4 linked regions of the Caenorhabditis elegans genome follow. The protein of the gene in region 1 purifies or fractionates together with the protein of each later gene. This does not show direct contact. Each region holds a gene or a part of one and is shown in the gene's direction. Other genes may lie near its edges. The genes, in order: mpc-2, nuo-4, F13E6.1 and asg-1.

The links.
Region 2: the proteins of mpc-2 (region 1) and nuo-4 fractionate together in Caenorhabditis elegans (co-fractionation; one large-scale study listed by BioGRID). This does not show direct contact.
Region 3: the proteins of mpc-2 (region 1) and F13E6.1 fractionate together in Caenorhabditis elegans (co-fractionation; one large-scale study listed by BioGRID). This does not show direct contact.
Region 4: the proteins of mpc-2 (region 1) and asg-1 fractionate together in Caenorhabditis elegans (co-fractionation; one large-scale study listed by BioGRID). This does not show direct contact.

What each region holds. Positions count from the first base shown.
Region 1 is NC_003279.8:3,825,620-3,828,768, forward strand, and holds mpc-2 (putative mitochondrial pyruvate carrier 2), read left to right. Parts: upstream 1-1,599; 5' UTR 1,600-1,617; coding exon 1,618-1,827; intron 1,828-2,178; coding exon 2,179-2,318; intron 2,319-2,366; coding exon 2,367-2,418; 3' UTR 2,419-2,526; downstream 2,527-3,149. Other genes in the region: unc-108 (Ras-related protein Rab-2), read left to right, coding at 142-424; F53F10.8 (Transmembrane protein 234 homolog), read left to right, coding at 2,631-2,822, 2,872-3,063. UniProt on the Caenorhabditis elegans protein: May mediate the uptake of pyruvate into mitochondria.
Region 2 is NC_003281.10:7,155,429-7,160,489, reverse strand, and holds nuo-4 (NADH dehydrogenase [ubiquinone] 1 alpha subcomplex subunit 10, mitochondrial), read left to right. Parts: upstream 1-1,680; 5' UTR 1,681-1,686; coding exon 1,687-2,058; intron 2,059-2,103; coding exon 2,104-2,332; intron 2,333-2,380; coding exon 2,381-2,505; intron 2,506-2,553; coding exon 2,554-2,697; intron 2,698-2,747; coding exon 2,748-2,854; intron 2,855-3,409; coding exon 3,410-3,631; intron 3,632-4,029; coding exon 4,030-4,141; 3' UTR 4,142-4,464; downstream 4,465-5,061. Other genes in the region: rnp-7 (U1 small nuclear ribonucleoprotein 70 kDa), read left to right, coding at 746-1,079, 1,148-1,337.
Region 3 is NC_003284.9:10,675,136-10,679,060, reverse strand, and holds F13E6.1 (D52 family tumor protein), read left to right. Parts: upstream 1-1,951; 5' UTR 1,952-1,959; coding exon 1,960-2,116; intron 2,117-2,173; coding exon 2,174-2,226; intron 2,227-2,280; coding exon 2,281-2,429; intron 2,430-2,766; coding exon 2,767-2,890; intron 2,891-2,958; coding exon 2,959-3,063; 3' UTR 3,064-3,349; downstream 3,350-3,925.
Region 4 is NC_003279.8:8,691,072-8,694,033, forward strand, and holds asg-1 (putative ATP synthase subunit g 1, mitochondrial), read left to right. Parts: upstream 1-1,874; 5' UTR 1,875-1,876; coding exon 1,877-2,101; intron 2,102-2,148; coding exon 2,149-2,319; 3' UTR 2,320-2,397; downstream 2,398-2,962. Other genes in the region: mrps-15 (Small ribosomal subunit protein uS15m), read right to left, coding at 59-211, 290-439, 492-656, 703-773, 821-1,040, 1,086-1,174, 1,225-1,288, 1,340-1,420; K07A12.5 (Pre-mRNA-splicing factor SYF2), read right to left, coding at 2,422-2,584, 2,631-2,933. UniProt on the Caenorhabditis elegans protein: Mitochondrial membrane ATP synthase (F(1)F(0) ATP synthase or Complex V) produces ATP from ADP in the presence of a proton gradient across the membrane which is generated by electron transport complexes of the respiratory chain.

The sequences.
Region 1 (3,149 bases):
TGTGTGAAGTGTCAAGTTGCCTTTTGCAAAATTCAAGGATCGATTGTTCAAAAATTTCTCTACAAAATCGAACAATTTATAGAAATTTGGTTTTCCAAATAAACACATTTTTATTCAAAAAAATAAAATAAATGTTTTCAGTGACCTGGAAGCCCGTCGCGAAGTGAAACGTGAAGAGGGAGAAGCATTCGCACGAGAGCACGGACTCGTATTCATGGAGACATCTGCCAAGACGGCTGCCAACGTGGAAGAGGCGTTCATCGACACTGCCAAAGAGATCTACCGTAAGATTCAAGAAGGCGTGTTCGACATTAACAATGAGGCAAACGGAATCAAGTTGGGACCACAGCACTCTCCAAGCTCACCAAATTCTCCAGGTGGAAATGCGACGGGAGGATTGGGCGGTGGATCTGGATGCTGTTAATTTTTGATGATGTTTCTTTGAATGAGCTTTGAATGTTTTAACTAAATCGTTTGAATACCAATCTTTTTTATGTTTCCTCCTCTTTTCGAATGTCGTTAGGCACTTTTCTAGTCTCCTTTCTCTCTTCCAGAACCATAATTTTACTTTACATATATATTGCAATTGTCTCTTATTACTACCATCATTTACTGTATATTGTCGCCTGCTTTTTCTCTTTCTCCTCTCTTTCTCTATTTTCTCTCCTTTTCATTCAGTCTCTCACCAATTGTGTGAATATCTGAAATTCCTGTGATTTTCCACTCAATCCATCAGAACAACATGTTGTGAAAATCCCGCTCTCTCTCCCTCATTTCCTCTTAAAAGTTTGTATGTAAGCTCTACTTCTTTTTTCCTTTTCTAATTCTTTCCATTTAATTACTATACGTCTCCAAGCTATCAAAATTTTCAGTGAAATAAATGAATTTTATGAGCGTTTCGTCGAGGATGGAATATATTTTTCTTAAAGTTGAAGTTCTTTTTGATTATTTTCTACAGATTGATTGATAAAAGATTGAATTGATAAGAATATGGGGAGAGACGAAAATTTAGAAGAAATTAGTGGCAAGATTTTTTTTTTGGAAACTTTACAAATATGGTTTCTTAGAAGATGCGAAATTTTTCGATTTTCGTGCCAGAAGTACTGTACCAGGTCTCGACACGACAATTTTTGTTTAATGTGAAAAGGTGCGCGCCTTTAAAGGGTACTGTAATTTCAAACTTTTGTTGTTGAGGAATGTTCTTTTTTTCATGTGCTTTTATTGTTATATTTTAGTTTTTTAATCGAAAAAAATTAGAAAAATCTATGAAAATTTCTCAACAACGAAAATCTGAATTTACAGTACTCTTTAAAGGCGCACCTTTGGTTTTTTTTTGCAAAAAAATATTTTTCGCTTTTTTCGAAAAAAATGTGCGAACCTGTCGCTATAATTGAAAAACTAGCATTTTTTAAAAATATTCTTACCAAAAATAAAAATTTTTTACCAAAAAAAATCAGACATCGATGACTCTATTATGTTCTCTGAACATTGGTTAACTTCTGATCTCTTTGATATTTTTTCTTCTTAACAATTTTCTCATTTCTTCTTTTTTCTTCTCTTCGCAGATTTCGAAATCAAATTTAATTTCTTCATTTTCAGCCCCACAAATACACCTCAATGGGCCCACATCGTCTCCTCTACCAGGCTCTGTGCAAAGCCGGAGATAAATTTGTCTATCCGGTGCTTCCAGCATTCGCCAAGCCGGCTTGGAATCATGCGGCCGGTCCGAAAACTGTATTTTTCTGGGCCCCAACCATCAAATGGACTCTTATCGGCGCTGGACTCGCTGATTTGGCCAGACCTGCTGATAAGCTTTCTCTTTATCAGGTAGGGATTTGTGAAATTTGTTTTCTGGTCCCGCAGCGAAAACTGGAGTGATAATTTGGTGTGTGTGTGTGCCTTTAAGGTTACTGTAGATGTATTGATTACATATTTTTAGAGGTTTTTCTCGTTGTTTTCTTCTCGTTTGTTTTTCTTTTCAAAATGAAGATAATCTCTACAGTAACCTCAAAGGCGCGCGTGGCGAGACCATTCCGCATAAACGCGTCCTCCTTGAAACTCGTAGAGGTGGATACATGAAAATGAGATAAATTTCTAACTAATCTAAATTCTAGTGTTTTCTTCTCGAAAACTACCGAAAAAAGCAATATAATATGCATTAAAATCTAAATTTTTCAGAACTCTGCTCTCTTCGCCACTGGAGCCATCTGGACGAGATATTGCCTTGTCATCACCCCAATCAACTACTATTTGAGTAGTGTGAACTTTTTCGTCATGTGCACCGGGCTCGCCCAGCTCTGTAGAATTGCACATTACAGGTATATTCAAATTTATTCTATTTCCCTGCAATTATGTATAAAATTTAGGTATCAAAATCCGGATTGGGAGACGAAGGAGATCATGGAGACCCATAATTAAATCCATAATTTTTCAAGATTTAGGAACGACAACGAGTGATTTGTATACAGGCATACACAATACATACAATAAAGATTTATAAATATGAATAAAATTTGAATTTAAACCCTTTTCTTCGATATCATATGTGGATTAACTCTTAGAAATATTTTTATTTTTTAACACAAGTTGAGCTTCGAACTTCCCTAATAACAAAACACTAAGCTTCCTGAATGTCGGAATGCGGTGTCCAATGTATTCTATCAATAATCGTTGTTGGATTTGTGTGGGGAGCTACTAATCCATTGCTCAGAGCAGCCTCAAAAGATCTGGAGAACAAAAAGAATGGAATAATCCTGGGATTTTTGAAATCTTTTCTCAACTGGAGATTCTCAATCCCTTTCGCTCTTAATCAATCTGGATCGGTGAACAAAACACATTGAACAAGTTATATAGAATAACAATGTATTTTAGGTAATGTTCAACGCTCTTGTTGTAAACTTTCCTGTTACTGTTGTTGTTCCGTGTGTGAATGCGATTCAGTTCATCGCAACAATTACAGTCGGGTGGTTGATGGGAGAGAAAATGCAGGTGTCCACAAGGAAGCAGAAAATTGGAATGACCATTTCATCGTTGGCAATTATTGGAATGCTGATTATCGATTAAATTAAATGTGAAAAAAAACGTTATTTTCATGTAAAACGCACTTTTTAGACGGAAAAAGTCAAATTTTCAGCCAAAATTTTGCTGAA
Region 2 (5,061 bases), on another chromosome or scaffold:
TTTGCTCAAAAAAACAACAGAAATTTTATTTTAAAAACCAATTTTCAAGGAACACGCTCCTATTTTTGTAATTTTTACAGCCACGCGGCCATTGTGAAATCCTGGGAAATGAATGGGAATGGCAGAGCGCGCAACTCTCCTATCGATTAATTTCTGATAGGTTTGTTTGTTGGTGAGCTCAAATAAAAAACAAGAAATTAAAAAAAAAAGGAATTAGCATTTTAAGAAACGAGTCTTTCCAAGAAAAAAAACATTATTTAAAATTGCACGCTTGCTAAAAAGGTTTTAGGCATATTATCGCATTTAAAAACTTTATTAATTTGTTAAGCTGAAAATTTCTGATATAAACTCTTTTTTTAGTACTAGGTCTTTGAATTTCATTTAGGCTACTAGATTAGGAAAAAATCCAAGAATTCAGATTTATTTTTTTATTTTTTGAATGGGTAAGGTACACGCTTTGTAAGTTTTCCTCACAAACATCAAAAAAATCATCTTGGGATTATTTTTGTAAGTTTCTTGCCGCTTTTTGTAAGTTTTCCCGTAAGTTTTGTCTGTAAGTTTGAAGTCTAACACATTTTCTGAATCGCGGGTAAGTGGTTGGGTAAGTAGTCAATTCCGCGAATGACATGGAGGCCTGTGAGCGCTTTTTTGGTAGGTTAGGTAAGATATTTATTGAGTAGACACACAAATCCGTATTCTCTCACCTTATTCCTTATTGAACATAATATTCGAGTATTATTTTCAGCCGCTTACAAAAAAGCTGACGGAATCAAAGTTGATGGTAAACGTCTAGTTGTCGACTATGAAAGAGGTCGTACTCAGAAGACATGGTTGCCTAGAAGACTTGGCGGTGGAAAAGGAGATACTCGTAAAACTCGCGAAGCTAAATCAGTCATTGAAGAACGTGAAATTGCGTCTGGATTTGGAGGTGGGTACGAGGATCGAGATAGAGAAAGAAGTGGTAGTCGGGATAGACGTCAAGATTCTTACCGTAATGGTGGAGGAAATGATCGTGATCGACGAGAATCATCGGGCGGATTTAGAGATAATCGCGGTGGAGGTGGCGGATTCGGTGGAGGGTTAGTTTTTATAAGATTTCGACATCTTATTTGTATTTTTCTTCACTTGTTTTAATTAATATTTTCAGAGGCCGTGATCGTTTCAATGATCGAAGTGGTGGTGGTGGATACGGAGGTGATCGTGATAGAGGAGGTGATAGAGGAGGTGACCGTGGAGGAAGCCGATACAGTACAGGTGGAGGATCCGGTGGTGGATATCGAAGCGGTGGTGGAAGTAGCGGAGGTGGTGGTGGAGGTCGATATGGTGATCGCCGTTGATTCTGAAACCAAAGGCCTTGTGGATTTTCCTCGCTTTTATGTTTGTTTTGTATCCTTCGATCTGAAATTTACCGATTTTTCCTTCTGCTTTCTATCTCGTCCTCTCAAATCATTTTGTATTCCTAAACACTTTTTCAAACCTGAACGGTATCTTCTAATTTATATTTTTAAGTTATTGACTTTTTTCTGCTCAGAAGTTCAACTATTCGAGGGCAGATTCTAATAAAGCTTCAATTGCAATATTTTCTGTAGAATAATTTATTTCTAATGGTTTTCAAACCTATTCTAATATTTTATTTTGTTCATTTTCCAATTTAATCTTATTATCTTGTTCCTTGTTAAGACCATCATGCCGGGTTCCATGAGCAAATTGGGAGGGCTGGCAACCGGTTTGCTGGCCTGCTCCAGATCAGGAGCACTCTCAAATCAAGTCAGAGGAGTTGTTCATAAAAGTCTTCTAAGACTTCCATCTGAACATCCAGAACCATGGGACTATAAGCACAATGGATTCAATTATATTGATGGATTAAAAGACGACACTCGTTCTCATTTCCATCAAAATTCCAAGCTTATCGTTGTTGAAGGAAATATTGGATCCGGAAAGACAACTTTAGCCAAACAACTTGCTGATCAACTCGGCTTCGTTCATTTCCCAGAATTTAGAATGGACGATATTCTCGTCGATCGCTACGGAAATGATCTTCGCAATTATTATAATAAAGTAAATAATAATTCAACCTAACTCTTAAATGTAATATTATTCCAGTTCCCAGCTCGTTACCGTCTTCCAGACATTTCCATGTTCTATAAGAATCCAAGTGGTGAACTCTCAGCTGCCATGCAAGATCGCATTTTCAACTGCCGTTTCGATCAATATCTCAACGCACTTGCTCATATTCTCAATACCGGTCAAGGAGTTGTGCTCGAACGTACTCCACATTCGGATTTCGTTTTTGCCAATGCAATGAGAGATAAGAATTATATTGGACATGAATGTACGTTTATTGTATTCATGAATTTTCTTTCAAAATAATTGTTTCTAGACTTCAAGCATTATTACTTTGTCCGTAAAAATGCTCTTCCTCAACTACATTTCTGGCCTCATTTGGTTGTTTATTTGAATACACCAACCAATAAATGCCTTGAAAATATCAAGAGACGAGGAAACGTAAGCTAGATTTCTCATAAAGATATTCAAAATTTTATTAATTTTCAGACAGACGAAATTGCAACAGTTGACGAGCGTTACTTAAAAACAATTGAGGAGTCTTACAAGGATTCACTTCGTGAATACCGTAATCACTCGAAGATTCTTGCCTATGACTGGACAAAACCAGGAGACACGGATGCTGTTGTTGAGGTAAGGAAAAGTTCGAAATTCTTAAAAGAAAAAAAACATAATTTTTAAAGGATATCGAACGACTTGACTTGGACTTCTTTGAATGGCACAGTGGTGATGTTATGGAAGAGTGGAATACAATTGTTGATTCAGTTGGATGGAATGGATGGAGACAATAGTGAGTTTTTTTTTTGAGAAATATATTCGAGATCATACATTTTCATTGATAAAACGAAACGATTAATTTATTGAAAATACCAACAAAAAAGCCATCAAAATTTTTAGGAAATTTAACATTCTAGGAATTGAAACTGGCCAAAACTTGTTTTTTTTTTATTTTTAAATTTTGCAAACATGGACAGAAAATGATTTCTGCGAAATTGTGTCCCCATCAAGGCAAAAGATTTTTGGTTTTTTTTGTGTTTTTAGCAAAAAAAATGTATTTCGCTTTATTCAAAAAAAAGAGCAAAAAAACACAATTTTTAATTTTGATATACTGAAAGACATAAATTAAAAACAAACAAGTATGTGTTTTTCAGTCAGCGACAGGGTAACAGAATTTTTCGGTTTTTTTTTTGAAAAAAAAATGCAAAAAATGGATTTTTGTAAAAACCACGAAAAAAACGATTTACGAATATCGTAAAAATCTACAGCCCTGATATAACATTGAGAAAGTATTTTAATTGAATTTTAAAAGTTTCATCCACATTGTATAATATATAATATCTTCTAGTGTCACCAATAAATACGATGCCCGTATGCTTGCATTCGATGGAATTCCAAAACACGAAGTTGGAGAGCTGTACACAAATCCACGTGATACTGGACACTTCCTTCACGTAATGCGTAAAGAGGTTCTCAAGTCACCATATGGCTATGGATATATTGCCAAGAATGGTGATCATCAAGCAGGACTCAATGCATGGCACACTGGACACCATCTTCCAGAACCATGGTAAGTTGTTTTCAATATTTGAAATTTAACTTGAAGGTGGAGTAGAGTCAATTTGAAAATTTGCTTTAAGTAATAGAAAATGAACCGAAAATACCGAAAACAAAAAAATTATAAATTTTTTCAATTTTCAAAAATGTTAAAAATTATTTTTGAATTACCACATAAATGAATCATGAATATATGATATTCGGACATTACGGTCTATTTTCTACCATTTGAAGCAAAAATTCGAATAGTCTCCACCTTTGAATTCTTATTTATGTTATTTGCATTTTAAAAAGTTCAAAAGCAACAGCATAAGATTTTTTTTAAAGCTGTACTTTTTAAAAATCCGTATAGCTAAACTTTCAATTTTATAAAAAATTCTTTTTTCGAATTAACATTTTTCTATTGTTCAGGTATGAATACTACTTCCGAGAGGCATACTATGATGATTTGACATCTCACGAGACATCGCTGGATTTGGATTCGGATTCATACGATCCGGATTATGTGCACCATCATCACTAAATCCATCTCTTATTCTCATCGCTCCAAGCTGTTTTTTTTCAGTAGATTTCGTAGATTTTTGTCGTCGTCGTCTTCGATTTTCTGTTTTCGATTTGATTCTTCAATCACAAATCGGTTCGCCTTTTATTATGTGTTAATTCTTTTTTGTATTCATATTTTTATTTTATAGTAAGTAGAGGAAGAATCGATCCGAGAGAAAATTTAATGCGAAAATAAAGGGTTTTTATATTTTTATTGTTTACTTGTATTTTTGTTCTTGGTTTTCTGAACTTTCCTTATTTACTTTTCACCTTTTTGAATGATAAATTACTAGAAATTTGGAATTCAAAAGCTTTTTCGATTCCTTGACTTGGCATAGAGCCAGCACACACCTCATAGAATACACCGGAACCCTGGAGACGCAGAGAAACGGCTAGAGACAATAAAAAGCAAAGAGTGTCCGGAGAAGTTTCTCTGTGCCTCGCGTGGGGTTCTTTTCAGTTTCTCTAGTGATATCTCGATTCACAATACTATCTCACTTTCACAAGACCAACGGGGATACCCCGTGGTCGACAAAGTGGGGGGAGTTGAGAGTGAAGAGACGCAGAAAAGATAGACAAACTGGAAGAAGATGAAGAAAAAGGACGATGTAGAAAAGAGGACTTGCTCTTTTTCAAGAGAAAAAGGACAGCTTCTCTATTCTCTCTATTACCCCACGCACACTTTTCAAATTATGCGTACTTTGGGTTTTATTCATATTATATTGCCACGTTTGGGTTTTACCGTACTACTGAAAATTTATTTTAATCTTTAGAGTCTCTCTAGTGCCGCGAGTGACTCGTGTCGAAAATGACGTCACTGCTGTGTGTGCTCTGTGTTTGTGCTTTTGCTTAGGAAAACAATAGGAAACATTATCAAAATTCTAAGATATTTGTTTTTTA
Region 3 (3,925 bases), on another chromosome or scaffold:
CAAAATACTTTATTTGACATTATTAAATTTGTATTAAGCTCTTTATTTTATTAATCTTTCAAACTAAATGGAGTGTTTTTTTTTTGAAAATTTGATAACATAATATTTAACTTGGATGTCCTTTTTTCTAAGACTTTTCACGAGGTGGGAATAAAATTCAATCGAGAATTTCGAAACTTTTACTGAAATAATTCCAAAAAATTGGAATCGGTTTATTTTCACTGTTTGTTTCGTTTTCAAAGCATAATCCTTCAGTTCACTAAAATCCAATTTTATATTTTCCGGCTTCAGCTGCGTGCTCTTTTCATTCCGTCATCTTTTGTCATCCGTCCTTTTGTGCACTACATTATGTGTTTCGAAGTAACAAGAAAATAAGAAAAATAGCTGTCATTCATATTTGCTTGTGCTGTGATGCTCATCTTCTTAAATTCTGGCGTCATATCGACAAAAGAGTTGCATTTTCCTTTGCCTTCCTGAAACTCCAACTTCGAAACAAACTCTGCGTGATTCTTTGAAATTTATGCAAGTGTGCCCCTTCTTCCACTCGAACCCTCCCACACTGCTTGCCTCCGTTATTTCGATGTTCCTCTTTTCTCTTTCTCCTCCATTTTGGCATGTCATCCATTTGAAGCCAACTAACCCTCCAAAGAAGAAGGAGACGCTGCTCAACACACCCCCGCAATAATACACATAAAATGAACATGCAGTAGTGTTGTGGTTTGTTTGCAATTTTATTGGTTTTAAGTTGAGTCATGTGACCCCATCCATTTTCCTTTTCTATTGTGTTGTCAGTATGAACAGTCCTTCTGTTTGTTTGTAGGTGAAAAGTCTATGTCTTCTGTGTAGCATGGGGAAAAGTGACGTTTCGAAAGTCGATTTCGTAACTTTGCCGTTTGGAAAACTAATCAGCTGCCAGGCCACAGTTTTACATTTTTAATCAAAACAAGAATTTTTATGACTAACAAAGTTTTTGCCCCTGCTGTATTTAACTTTTTCTGACATGCAATTGTTTCTTGTGTAGCATAAGTCTTGTTATAACCGCTTTAATATCCAAACCTTTAATTTTTGCTGGAAAGTTTATCTTATCACACTAAAAAATAAAAAGAAGACCATACAAGGAAACAGATGAAAAAACAAATGCCTTCCTTGTCTCATTGCCTTTGTTCTCCCATCTCATTCATTTTTTCTGTCGAATTACGTCTACTTTACTCTACCCTTTCAACTGAACTAAATAGATGAACTAATAAGATATGACTAGTGGGCACAACAGAGGCAAGTGGACAAGAGACCGTGTGTGAAGAGGAGGGCTAGTAGAAACAGTGATGGGGGGAAACGAAAGAGGGCTGCAGATATCGATCGGTCGTTTATTTGAGCGACCGCCATACACGTATCGCTGTGTGAGTGTTAGTGAGTGTCTGCCTGTTCTCCCTCATACAGTTTTTGTTATGATCGCCAACATTTTCATCTTTGTCGTTTATATCTTCTTTTAAATTTGTTTGAAATCTAAGTGAATTCAACTCCAAAACTACTACAAGATTCGAATTAATCCGCGCTCTGAATAATCGTTAATAATTTTTCTTACGCATCTATATGCTTCCAGATTTTTAGCCCATCCCACTTTCAGTAGATGTTTAATTGCTTTTGTGAATAGTGTAATACATGATAAAAGTTTGGTGCAATATGATTTTAATTTCAAGGAGCTCGAAATTTTGACAGAAAAAGGCGCGTTTAACATGAAAAAATTTTAGTTGATAAAATTTGAAAACAGCTCGTAATTTTTGGAATTCCTTTTGATATTTGTTACAGCTACATTTTTGATTTTAAAATATCATGTATTTCAACAACATTATGTTATAACCCCTTTCACTCATATTCATTTCGTCCCCCGTAGTTGTTCGTTTTTCTTTGTTTTTCTATTAGCGATTGGTAGTGAATGTAAACAAGAATTTAGATAGAAAAATGCCAAAGGGAAACAAGAAACCTAATGAGAAAAAAGAGGAGCTTGAAAAATTTGCAAAAGAATTGCAAGGAAGTGATTCGGATGAAGATGCTGTTGTAATTGAACAACCGACTGTTGAGCCTAAACTGCCACAAAATGATAGTTCTAGCAGCAACAGTAAGCATTATCAGAGAAATGTCTTCGAAAATGAGTATTACAATTGACACATTTCAGAAATCGTGCTCTCCCAAGCAGAAAAGGACCTTTTGCGCACTGAATTGGATAAGGTAAGTTTATTTTTCTATTAAATAAAAACGTGAACTAAATTTCATCAATTTCAGACCGAAGAAGAAATCTCAACGCTGAAGCAAGTCCTATCTGCCAGACAAAAACACGCCGCCGAGCTCAAGCGCAAGTTGGGACTTACTCCATTCTCGGAACTCTCTCAGGACATCAACCGCAGCTTGAAAACTGTCACCGATACCGACGCGTAAGTATTCTATTTAGAAAAATTTTAGCTGTAAAGGAATTTTGAGGTGCACTCATTTTATTGAAATAAATATTCAAAAAAAAAAGAAACAATCGATGTATTATATTAAACGACTGTCCAAGAATATTCAAACAGTACCAATACTGACTAGTGAAAAAAAAAGAATTTTGCATGCTGTTAGGTAAACTTGCGTTAATGGAAAGCAATATATTGATATACAGTTTATAGTATTAAAAAAAAAAAGTTCGATACTTAAAAGTTTATTACTGTGGCAACAGTGCTCATGGTTAATAAAAAATTTATGTTGAAGCACGCATAACATGCAAAACAATTTCAGATACCAAAAAACCGCTGAGGTAGCCGCCGCCACGTCTGACACAGTTAAAGAAAAGTGGAATGACATGAGAAACTCATCACTGTTCAAATCCTTCGAGTCAAAACTTGGTTCTGCCCTCAACAACGTCAGTATTCCAATTTTTTCTGAATTATCTGGATTTGTTTCTAAAATGAAACTATTTTTGGCTTTCAGGCTAAGATGGCTGCTTCAACATCGATTGATCATTTGGCGGGAGCTGCTCGTGGTCCAAGTCAAACCGGAACCCCAGTTGCGGAGGAGGCCAAGCCAATCTCTTAAATTCATTCATTTCACATACCAATATGTTGTAAAAACACGTCACTACTGGGATATTTCAATCTAATCGTCTTTTCTTCATTCTATTCTTTTCCTGTCATTAATATCGCCACTTTGTGAATGATTGCGGCTTTTTCTGCTGAAAGTATTCGATAATGTTTTGAAATGTTCTGAATCCGCATCCGCATGGCACATGTATTCATACCTATTTATTAATTTTGTGTTTAAACATTACTTCAAAAATTTATTTTTCTTATGTTTTAAAAATGAATAAATCGGAAAACGTTAACACTTTAAAAAAATTTAAATTTATTTTCAAATAAAATTAAAGTTATGTTTTATTCACCAAGGCTCGGTCATAAAACTACTACCTGCGTTGCTTAAGAAAGGTATCGAAGCGTATATCCTAATCGAATATCCGCCTGACGCAGGGACTTCTTGGTATGGACAAGTAGATGTATAACACTGAATCAACTACTGGTCTACGATATGCAAAAAGTAAGTTATAGTGTTTTGAATTTTCTTGAAACTTGAATTTGTTTGGTTCAACACTATTCATCAAGATTTTTGAAAATTGAGCTTTTAGTTAGAAATCATATTTAATGATACCTGAAGTGAACAAATAACAAACAACTGTCAAAAAATTTTTTAAATAACTACTTTTCAGCATTAATGATAATTAGTACTTTCAAGTAACATGTAGTAATCGAACTTCTGACTAAAAACACTAATTATGGAAAAAGTGAATATCTTGGTAAAATTGGAAAAATTGTAGCGTTTGAAAAGTTTGATTTAGATTTTTCAATTAATAACAAATCTGAATGTTTTATGAAAATCTGAATGTTTTCTGAAAACACAAAAAAAA
Region 4 (2,962 bases), 4.9 Mb from region 1:
TAACAATAATAAGAAAGATCCTACTACAACAAAAAAAATTCTGAACTTCTAAATGAGATTATTTTTCAGTCATAGTTGGTGGTGGATGATAGAAGAGATTTGAATGAATAACAGTTTCAGTAAGTGAAGAGATTAAAGCTGGTTCATACTTTCCAACTGTTTCAAACGATTTTCCTTCGATAACGTCAATTTGGCGCATTTCTTGAGCAAGCTGAAATTTCGTTTGAATTTGAAACGTTTCAGAAATTAGTTTTAAAAAGGGTATTTTCAAAGTGTATATTTTGCTTACTTTATCCAATTCATTATTCAATGCTTTCCTCTTCTCTTGTGTCTCTCTTTTATGCTCTTCAACTTCTTTATCGTACTTTTCGTGCAATTCTTCCAATCGCTTCTCTTTTTCATTTTCAACTCTCAACTTTAATTGTGCTTCGGCCCATGCCTGAAATTTGTTGTTTTTTTAGTGTTTAAAGTTATCAATTTGCAAACTTTACCTTTCTAGTTTTCACATGAGCTGGCTGTTTCGGTACATGATACGAAATTTTCAGAGCGGCAATTGTTTTCTCGAATGCAGTCTCATTACGTTCACGTAAAATACGAAGAGCTTTACGGCGTTCATTGATTACGAGCCAGATTCGATGGGTGAGCCATGTTGGCTTCTGCAATAAATGTTAGAAATATTGCCTTTTTAAAATGTTAAACTACTTTTTTGGTTTCCTGTCCAATGTCATTAACAAGAAGAGACCAATGCCGAATTAAAGCCGTTAGCCAGGCAACTGAAATTAATTTTAGATAATATTTTGTGATTATTTCTCAAACAAACTTTTCATTTCCAAACTATTTTCATCGAGAGAATGCTGCCTTACTGATTTGATAAGACTTTGTTTCCATTCTTGTGACAACTCTTTTCTCGTCGCCATTTCAACACTAAAAATCTTTTTGACAGACTCTGGAGCATTCGAAAGAACATCTAAATCTTCATATTTCGCACGAGTTTTCGATTTTTCAATACGAGGCAATCCGAATTCGGTTTTTTCGAGAATCTGCAAGAATATTGCTTATATCTATAAAACTCTTGATTATCATACCAAATTATCAGCTGCTTTCAAACCCAAATCGCGTTCACTGCCAATTTTTTCGTAGTAAAGCTTCGTAAGTGCATCGATGTAGTTTTGATCTGAAAATCACTTAATAGAGATATATATCTCGGTACTTGAATATACTCACCCAGTGGCAGTTCTCTCGCTTTTTTCTCAAAGTAATCCGGATCTTGCTTGGCTGGGTCGGTGACCTGAAAATGATATATCAAATTGTGGCTAGTTTTGTTTTTTTTTCCACCCACTTTTTGATGAACGTTGTAGAACGCTGTTCTTCCTCGTTCCAGCCGACACGATGTGTGCACAAATCTTCGAAGATTTATCATCTGAAAGTATTATAGAAAATTGAACAAAAATACCGTTCAAAACTGACTTAATATTAATTAATCTAATCATTCATGAAAATTAAAACAAAAAAAATTTCCACGGCGCCTTGGAACTCAATGAGATACGGTTTGTAAAAGTCCGCAAACACCGTGCCGCTCAACTGCGGACAGCCTCGCTGAATTAAAAAAACCAAGGATTTCTTTCTCGATTGCTTAAAGGGTCCCACCACGATTCAAATATACTACTGTCTTGATTAAAACGGGCTGCTTGTATTTTGGGGGATTTTTTTAATGAATGAGCACTCATGGGCAACATTATTCCCTTTCTATTAAGTTTCATTTAAGGAACAAATAAATTTTAATGATCTATTCAATAATTGATTCCCTCGTCTCCCAATTTTATTGCCTTATTAATTTCGAAACACATTCTCTCATTCACACTCGAAATTTTCAGCGATGGCGACCCACAAGCTGAGCTTCTTCGAAAAGTTGGCCAACACCTTTGGAGCTCTTTACCGTCATCAAGCTCAGCAGTTCCCACGCCGTCTCGCTATTCTCAAGGCTGTTGGAAAGCACGAGCTGGCTCCACCCCGGTCTGCTGACATCCCAGCTATCAAGGCGGACTGGGCTAAGCTCCAGAAGTTTATTGAGACCAAGCAATATGTCAACCTTAGTATCAAGGTAATTTGTTACACGCTGAAACAACACTCAATAAAAAATAACTTCAGGAAAGTCTCGTCTACTCGGCAGTTGCCCTCGAGGTAGTCTTTTGGTTCTTTGTCGGAGAAATGATTGGACGTCGCTACATTTTCGGGTACATTGTTCCAGCCAATTATGTCTCGAAGGATACAAAGGCTAAGGTTGCCGAAAAGAAGAGACTCGCTGCCCTCGAAGCTTAATACATCGATAAGCATATTCATTTGTGAAAATATGTGTTTTTTCTTCAACGTTTGTTAGATAAAAGAAATTAAGGCTTTATTTTTCTAGTTCAATACAAAAAATTACAATCCACTAGTTTCTTCTCCAGCCTCTCGAGTGTAATCCTTCCGATCTTCCTCAAAAGTTTCAAGTGCCTTATTTTTCACTGCATACTGTCTTTTCAGAGATCGGCCTTTGAAAACATGAGAAGTGATTGTTGGAGCAAAAATGATTTGATTCGGAGCGCTAAAAATAAAACTCGTTAGAGAAAAATCAGTTTCGAAATTCTTACTCGGTCGCATCATCCTGGCTTATTGAACTTGTAGAGAGGGTTTTATCTACAGATACTTGTTTCTTGTTGAATTCAATAGTACCGTGCAAGGTATTCATGAAAACAGCATTTCTTTCACAACTCTTCTTGTATCTCGCATTAATTGATGCCAAGGACTCGGACATGATGGTGTTTGCTGTGTTGCTAGGTGGTTCTGTTATTCCAGCATGTTTAACTTTCCCCCCAGCAGTCATTGTCTCAATCAACTTTTCAGCAGTAACCGTGTACTTTCCCTCTGGATCATCGTCCAACGTCATATCCTCTCTGAAATTCAAATATTAAGATCCAACGGA